2 linked regions of the Nothobranchius furzeri genome follow. The protein of the gene in region 2 interacts with the protein of the main gene of each other region in a biochemical or structural test. Links are inferred from orthologs where the notes say so. Each region holds a gene or a part of one and is shown on either strand. Other genes may lie near its edges.

Evidence for each region.
Region 1: the proteins of plg (region 2) and serpinf2b form a complex in vitro, tested with the Homo sapiens proteins (2 studies listed by BioGRID, with this or other methods). The link is inferred for Nothobranchius furzeri from reciprocal best matches to the Homo sapiens genes PLG and SERPINF2.

The regions. Positions count from the first base shown.
Region 1 is NC_091753.1:47,653,923-47,658,208, reverse strand, and holds the start of serpinf2b (serpin peptidase inhibitor, clade F (alpha-2 antiplasmin, pigment epithelium derived factor), member 2b), read right to left. Parts: upstream 2,834-4,286; 5' UTR 2,588-2,833; intron 2,485-2,587; exon of another isoform or gene 2,374-2,484; intron 2,231-2,373; 5' UTR 2,216-2,230; coding exon 2,162-2,215; intron 2,059-2,161; coding exon 1,993-2,058; intron 1,910-1,992; coding exon 1,633-1,909; intron 1,490-1,632; coding exon 1,346-1,489; intron 576-1,345; coding exon 387-575; intron 252-386; coding exon 109-251; intron 1-108.
Region 2 is NC_091742.1:9,663,531-9,667,920, forward strand, and holds the start of plg (plasminogen), read right to left. Parts: upstream 3,108-4,390; 5' UTR 2,964-3,107; intron 2,539-2,963; 5' UTR 2,501-2,538; coding exon 2,422-2,500; intron 2,102-2,421; coding exon 1,966-2,101; intron 1,889-1,965; coding exon 1,782-1,888; intron 1,535-1,781; coding exon 1,420-1,534; intron 1,345-1,419; coding exon 1,205-1,344; intron 1-1,204. UniProt on the Homo sapiens protein: Plasmin dissolves the fibrin of blood clots and acts as a proteolytic factor in a variety of other processes including embryonic development, tissue remodeling, tumor invasion, and inflammation. In ovulation, weakens the walls of the Graafian follicle.

The sequences.
Region 1 (4,286 bases), on a different chromosome or scaffold from region 2:
TTTCGGAAATTATAGCAAACAAACCTCTAATATCAATAAATTTAATAAATCTAATTTCCTGAATTTGCAAGAAGGAATATTTTACCAGAACACTATTATTTCTAATACCTGGGCTTCAAGTTCATTATCAGCAAAACAGCTTAGCTGATGTTTGGCATCTTCCATCACATCAACATCCACCATGTGCAAGTCATCCAGGTAAAACACACCTCTGGAGGTAAAGTTTGGGTCGAATCGAGCTTTCCATTCTCCTGCAAAGAAACAAAGAAAAATCTTCTCATTTCAGTTACATAAAGTCACAACAATGACTGTTTATCTGAACTCAAGGAAATAGTTTTTTTATGTGGATATTCCTAGAATGACTCTGTAAGATTCCTTTCAGTCACCTTTAAAGTGGACAGCATTGATGAGCATGAGGAGCAGATTGGGTGGTAAAGTAAACAGGAAGTCCGTCATCCTTCCATTTGTTGCGTTCTCTACCCATTCATTAATCTGCTGAAGGCTCTCCAAGACTGCTGGTTCTGAGCCGTAAAATAGCTGAGATTCACTCACAAATTTGTGCTTTGCTTCAAACCCTGAAACACAAAGGTACACAAAGGTACACACAGCGTACCGCGTACAGCGTTGAGGGTCAAGTCTAGATTCTCATGAAGAAAAGCATCCATCCATCCATCCATCCATCCATTTTCATCCACTTATCCCGGGTCAGTCGCGGGGAAGCAGCCTAAGCAGAGAGGCCCAGACTTCCCTTTCCCCAGCCACTTGGGCCAGCTCCTCCAGGGCAATCCCAAGGCATTCCCTGGCCAACTGAGAGACATAGTCCCTCCAGCGTGTCCTGGGTCTTTTTTAGGTCTCCTCCTGGTTGGACGTGCCTGGAAAACCTCACCAGGAAGGTGCCCAGGAGGCATCCTAACTAGATGCCCGAGCCACCTCAACTGGCTTCTCTTGATGTGGAGAAGCAGTGGGTCTACTCCGAGCCTCTCCCAGATGACCAAGCTTCTCACCCTATCTCTAAGGGAGAACCCAGACACCCTGCGGAGAAAGCTAATTTCGGCTGCTTGTATCTGTGATCTTGTTCTTTCAGTCACTACCCAAGCCCGTGACCATAAGTGAGGGTAGGAACGTAGAGCAACCAGTAAATCAAGAGCGTCGCCTTCCGACTCAGCTCTCTCTTCACCACGGCAGACCGGTACAACGTCACTGCAGACGCAGCACCAATCCGCTTATCGATCTAGTGCGCTCTTTCCCTCACTCGTGAACAAGACCCGAAACACTTAAACTCCTCCAATTTATCAGTGCAGTTATAAATCAATGAAATTAGGCAAAACATTTCTTAGGAAGTAACCTTGACGCAGAAATATGCGGGTGGCAATTTGCAGGTCTCTCTTTTTAAGCTGTGCTAAAACATCACGCAGAGACCGATGGTAACAAGGAACAGCGTTCTCGTGGAGGTGATGCATCAGCAGCTCTTCAGTCTCATTTTTTGCACCTTTGAAAAGACAAAAATAAAGCAGCAGGAATCATTTCATGAGGAAAATGGCAATATCAGTTTTAAAAATGCAAAGAATGATAAATTGTTAATAAAATCAAATGAATATTGTGTAAATGAAGGCCTCTGTAGTGAGTGCATACCTAAAGCCAGTTGAGAGAGGGCTAGAGATATGCTTAAAGGAGATATGATGATGTTTGGGTGTTCTGGTGTGGTCTCCAGGTTTTGTAGCAGCTGAACACCCAGGTTCTGAACAGCAGCGGCGATGGCCTGTTGGGATTTGGGGCTCTGGCTGGCAGACTGACAATCACCGGTTTCGTTTACGTCTAGCGACGTTTTGTTCGAGGTAAGTATGGCTGCCAGTTCTTTGGTTGCTACATCTGTGGAAGCTAAAGGTTCTGACGTAGAACTTTCTCCTTCCTGCAGCAAGGATTAGAACAATCTAAATCCAAAACCCAAATACTATAAGAGGAAAAAGAAAATAGTGTCATTTTGACCCCTACTTCTATGGGTTGACTGGGAATCAAAGGGACGAGAGGGGTTGACTGATCTTCTGTCACCTCAGCTTTCTGTTGATCACAAGATTGTAATAAAACACCATTAAAGTACTTTACATTCAGCAAATACTCCAGTGATTTAGCCTTATTACGTAAAGGTAACTCATTGTTTTACAGTGGCTCCTTGGCTGCAGAGACAAATCAACAGGAGTGTCAGGCAGAGGTCCATGTCCTTTATACGTCACTAGAAGACAAAATTAGGCATAATGATAATTATTCTAAGCAAGACATCTTCTCACTTTGGTACATTTTATAGAAAATTTTACTTTCACAAAAGCAAAAGTATTCGCCTCCTGTTGGTGTTCAGGAGGGGAACGGATAATTTACTTCAATTTTGCCAGCTGATCTTCCAAAACCCACTTTCCAAAGCAGGAATTCTGACTAGAATAACGTAATTACGTCAAAAGTGCATTAAAGCTTGTTATAGAACCATAACCTGTTAAACAGACTTCACACAACCACGAAAAAAAGCTCATTATTTCAATTCTTAACAAAATTCCAAACATTTCCAGAGAATTTATTCAAAAATATACAGACTTACCTTTTATTTGAACTACAAAAATCTTGCTGCCGTGTCCAAAAAAGGAGAACCTACTGTACTGTGAATGGCTGAATTCCTGAGAGTAAAAGATTGGCATTTGCTCAGCAAACAGTTAAATATCAACTTGCATTGATCGACGCCTCATTTTGACCACTATGTGTTTGTAAATGCAGCTACTCAGACTCCTCCAGAGTTAAATAGGCTATTTTGACACACGTAGTATGTCAGTGAGATGGGAACATCATTAGAAAAACTTAATCTCTGACAGGAACAATGATAACTTGCTTACAAGAGTTTGATTAATCCAACCACAAACAAAAGCAACTTGGTGACTCGAGATTGAGAAACAAACTCCCACGCTTCTCAGAAAACCGGAATTAGGACATGTCGGCTGGACAAAAAGGCAAATAGTTAAATATTGTGTCCCAAGATGATCTCAAGTTGAATTTGCAACTAAAACCAATTGATCAACGCTTAAAAGAAATATTTAAAAGTCCACTAATTAGATTACTTTCTCAACACAAAGATAAACTTGTATCTTGGAAATATCACATGACTGCAATCTGCAAACACAAAGGGGACTTTGTACAATCTGAACCCAAGTGATTAAGCCAACATTAGGAGGCTAAATGGAGTCACAGCGTATCACATGAAACAACACACAGAAAAGACGGAAGCAACTTTTATTAAACATGTTAATAATTTAAAGTCTTTGCCCATTTCTCTTCAAGTGTTTGCCATTTTATGCTCCAATTTGGACTTCAAGTTCACCAAAAATGAGAAAATAAAAATTCTAAACATTCTTTTATCACATTTATTTGAACTTTAGGCTAATTATTAGAAAAAAGCCCAACTTTGAAAAACGCCATACAAAAAAGCTGAGCTTCCAAAGTTAGATGTTAAGGTTTAAAAACTGGAATTGATTTAAGAAACAAAACTTCTGCTGTTTATTTTATTTACATTACACAAAGAAGCATATATATTTCCTCTATAGACATAGTTTTCCTAATATTCCTACGTGGTTACACATAAATGTTAAAATACAAACGTTGTTTCACTTGGCATCGACTGTTCAGTTTTTGGAGGTAAACTAAAAGCTGCTGTGAAACAAACAAGATTAAATGATGAGTTGACCTAAAGATGGTCCTGATGAAGGTTTCAAGTCATTTATTTGGGGGGGTGGGGGAGAGAAACAAATATTCAGTATTTTAAATCTGAGCGTTACAATTCAGACTTTTCTTTGTGCAGTTGATTAAAGGTTGTGCATTTGTACTCTTTGTTTGGCGTGGCAGCTCTAGGCGAACTACCATCACAACAAGTTTATCGTTGAGCACAATCAAACATCTCGCTGTAGACATGGAGTAACGATTACAGAAATGGTTTGGTGTACAAATACTGCATAGTTTCCTCAGTGCACTTGATTAACATTTACTCATCATTATGAAGGGACAATGGAAGGCGAGCTTGATGTGTTTTTGGTTTCATTAAGCAACTACCGGTATTTGAAAAAGTGAAAAGACTAGCTAAAACCTTCCTGAGCGTATCTTCTGGTTTTGATCGGAATAGCTGAACTAGGCAGAACAATAAATGTATAGACAAGAGTTTTCCCATTATGTCATTCACGTATAAAGGCGCAGGATTTTAATTCCAGTGTGCATGAAACGTCTACAGAGTGGGGCATACTTCCTGTCCATTGGGT
Region 2 (4,390 bases):
AAAATAAAGACATTGCAAATTAAGTCTTTGGGTAGTAAAGTGCTGTTTAGCAAGTGCTGGTCAAATTGTACCCAGTGGTTTATGTTTTGTACCAGTTGGGTGCAAACTGGCTGCACTCAGGTCAAAAGTCATGATTCAGCAATTAAGAAAAGGCAAGGGCAAAAGGGTAATCGCTGTAGCACTCCAATTTTAAAACAAAAAGAAAAGCTATACAAAATTTGCTCTGTCGTAGTTCAAGATGAATTGCAAGCCAGATGCGATTCCTGTGTTGGCACACAAGATGGATGCCATCATCGAGGAAGTTACTGCATGGTATGAAGGGAATTATACCTCATTATTGGGGTGTTTGGAGGAGCTTGAGACCAGCAGAGACTGAGGAAATCTCCCACAGCGTGAATGCTGACAGATGCTTTGAAACCTTTCCTCCTTCAATCCTGGTTTGGAATTGTGACGTATCTGGTTGGTCAACTGGTGATCTGGGCGTGACCATGGAATCTTCAAGGACTCATTGCACTCTCCATTCCTCTCCTTCACACCCGTAAGCAGTAGTACGCACACTAGATGCTGTATGCTCTCTCAGCTGCGAGGGGGATCCCAGCTCCTCCCACCTTCTACTTGTGGACTAATGTTGTGTCTGAGTCTGCGCTCATGTGTTTTCTCCCTCATTCCTTCCCAGCTTTCACAACAGAGTTTTTTAGTTGTAGCTCACAGGCAGATGTGTGGTTCCCTTTACTAGTTTTACTGTTGTGGTTTACATTATCTCAGTTTTTTCCCCCTAGTTTATTTTTACTTTTTGTAGTTCCTTGTACTAGTTTAACTGCTTTAGTTTTCATCTTACATTTTACCTTGTGTGGCACATTATGCAAACTTAGTATTGTTTTCTTGTAACTAGAAATTCTGTGTTACCTTTCCTTTTGTAATGCCACAATCCCTCACCACCACTGGTCACCAGCCACTTCTAGTTTTCTGCTCAATCACCTATTGAACTTCTGTTAGCTTTCTAGTTTCAGTGTTTTTGTAGTTCACTGTACCAGTTTTACTGCTTTTGTTTTGGTCACCGTACACTTGTAGTTTAATCAATGCTTTCATTGGTTGGCCTTCCACAAAACTTTCAAACAACAGCTGTCGAATCTTGATGAAGATGGTTGTCTTCAGAAGTTTGGAATCAACTCAGTATCAACTGTTATAGATACATGAATCTCACCAGTACAGCTGGGTATGTTGCAGGACTCCCAGCGAGTATTTGGGTCAGTGGTATAACACCAGGGTCCATTTATGTCCCCGTCAGGGTTTCTGCAGAAGTTGGAGTCCAAATCTGCAAGTGGATTTTTGTCTGGTGTGTAGCTGCGACGGAAATGTTTACAAAAGTTACAAAATTGATGAAAATAATTTAGGAATCAAATGTGAAGTGATACCTACTTGGGCTTGTGTGGGAATCTTGAAGCCCATCTCTGACACAGCGTTCCTGATTTTGTTCTGCTCTTTGTTCCTCTGTAATCTGTTCCTGTTCCATTCACACACTCCAAAAGATATTCTAGAAAAGACAAAAAAGAAGCAGTGATTATACAAACTCACCTGACTGATCAAACACAAGGCTTTTATTCTGAAAACCAAAACAAATGTGTTTAACTTGTAATTCATCTCTGCTTTGTTTGCAGCCAGTCCAAAAACCACTGCTGGTACACCACGAGCTAAACATTAACTACTGTGTCACTAAAACAACAAAATACCATTACAAATTAGAGGAAAAGAGTTGAAAAACTTTATAAAAATGGACTTGCTGTTTTTTTCATATAAAGCTGAGCTTCGCCGGCGTAGGACAAGCTCCGTTTTTGAGTTTGATGCTGCTGTCCAACATTCCTGGTCCTTCTCTACATATGTAAATGCCCTGCAGAAGTAAATACCAAGTCAGGCTTTGATTAACAGTGTAGATGGAAGACATCGGAGAAAGAAGCATCAACTTACTTGCAGAGGAAAGATGTTTCAGTGTCACATTTGGTGGCACACTCAGCCACAGTGTTGACTGTATACTGTCTTTTGTTCAGCGAAAGCACCCACGCCCCCTCAGTTTTAGCGTAGCCGTCCACCTCGGTACCCCCGACTGGTGACAGATAGAATATTAATCAACATGTGAGGTGTGGTCATCAATTTGTGAACCAAACGTTTCTTTCCATTCAGGTCAACCCACAATAATTCTGAATCAGTTGAACAGAACTTGTAACTGAATTCAAGAATAGTACGTGGTCATTTACAAAATTAACATTAGAACATTCAAAAGATGTCAAGTTTTTTCAAGTCAGATTCCAGGTTATTTTGTGATCTTTAGGTTGGAATCTCTTCAGATTAGACAGTCTTTTTCTACAGCAAGCATAATTACAGATATGTTTATAAGCACCTTTTATACGTGTTATTGCATCTTACCAGAGCAAAGAAAGGCTCCCAGAAGAAACGTTGCCTTGAACGGGTCCATGCTGTTGACAGTCCACCAGCAGCTCATCATCGACTGGAACTCAGATGTCCCTCTACTTCTATTAGGTACTTACAGAAAGGACAGCTACTAGTCAATGATTGGCCTGACAGGAAAAGCTAACAACAACAGGTCAAAATCCATTTTATGAAAGATTCTGGAACAAGCAACTGTCCAATGAAACAATGAACTCATGTCATTGATTATCATGTTCAGTTCTTGCACCAGTAATGGTGATTTAACAACAAAAAAACAAAAACAATGAAAACCATTTTCTGAGAGACGAAATAAATGGGTTTTCCACCTTCCACATCATCTTTGAGGACCTCGATCTTGCTCAACTTTGTTTACCCCCATTTCCAAGAAGTAAAACTCTCTTGTAAAAAATTCCCTTTACTAAAAACTTATACAATTTCTGGTTATGTATCATTCTTGTTTAATGTCACTTTGATCCGTTTTTAATACTTTTTATATTGTCTTGCTGTCAAAGACTCACCTCCAACTCTGAGGGAGCGTTCCACCTTTATCCTTTTTTGGAGGAACCAACTATCATCCCAGCTGCTCCCCACTCATCTGTTCACCGTCCCAGCTTACCATGGCTTAAAGACACCAAGAAGAACCATATCACCTGAGATCCTGAGGTTTTCAAACTCTCTATGACTGCACCTGGAGGCCAGGATCAGAGACAACGAACCACATGATTAAATCACAGATTGGACCTTTGTTTCATTGATGAGTTCTTTGTGATCTAGCTAGAACAGCTTCCTTATCTATACTGGAGATCAGTGTCCTCATTTGCAAACAAGTGATTACGAAACAAACTTTAGATATGATCACTGAGTCAACTGTTTAAATACGTCTTAACCTTCTAAGAGCCACATTTATGAGACAAACTGTGGGAACTTAACCCTGAAATATGAAACTCACAAAAGATTTAAGGTGTTATGAAAAAAGTTTTAATGGATTAAAAGGCTTTTTAACCTTTCAGTAGCTTTCAATGAATAATGTTTTCTCTAAATATAATGTAAAAGCTACATGGTAGCACTGTTGCCTCACAGCAAAAAGCTGCAGGTTTGAATCCCAGCTGCTACCTTTCTGTGTGGAGAAATGTTGTTGTTGCAGAGTCATAAACTCACATTAAATTTACTTGAAAAGACAAGGAGTATTTTTCTTCACAGGACAGTGAAAGAATCTTTCATAACCTTTGGCGACACAGGCATCACAGCCCATTTCTTCTAGAGTCTTATATTCAGGTTTAAAAACCCCAGGGGGCAAAACACAAGACCAACCAAAGGTGGCGGGCGAGGAGGGCCAGAAAACATAAAATCCCACCAAAAAACCCAGAGAAACCCCGGAGGGAACTGGAGCCGAAAAACCTGGAGAGTCTGGGGGGCCGGCGACGGGGAACCAGGAGCCGGGATCTGGCTCTGGGGGACAGATGGGACGCCAAAGACACCGGAGGAGGACGAGGGGACGAAGACCTTGGAGAAGGACAAGGGAACAAAGCCTTTGGAGAAGGACTGTGAAGGGACTCCGGAGGAGGACGATGGAGGGGCTCTGGAGGAGGACGATGGAGGGACTCTAGAGGAGGATGATGGAGGGACTCTAGAGGAGGACGATGGAGGGACTCTGGAGGATGGCAGGGGGACGTAGACTCTGGAGGGGAGGTAGACTCTGGAGGAAGGGACGGAGACTCTGGAGGAAGGGACGGAGAAATGGGAGGCTGAAGAGGGGACTCTGGAGGCTGAAGAGGGGATCCTGGAGGCTGAAGAGGGGACAATGGAGGCTGAAGAGGGGACAATGGAGGCTGAAGAGGGGACACTGGAGGCTGAAGAGGGGACTCTGGAGGCTGAAGAGGGGACTCTGGAGACGCTGCTGGCAAGGACACTGCAGACCTGGAATCTGATGGCGTAGACTCTGAAG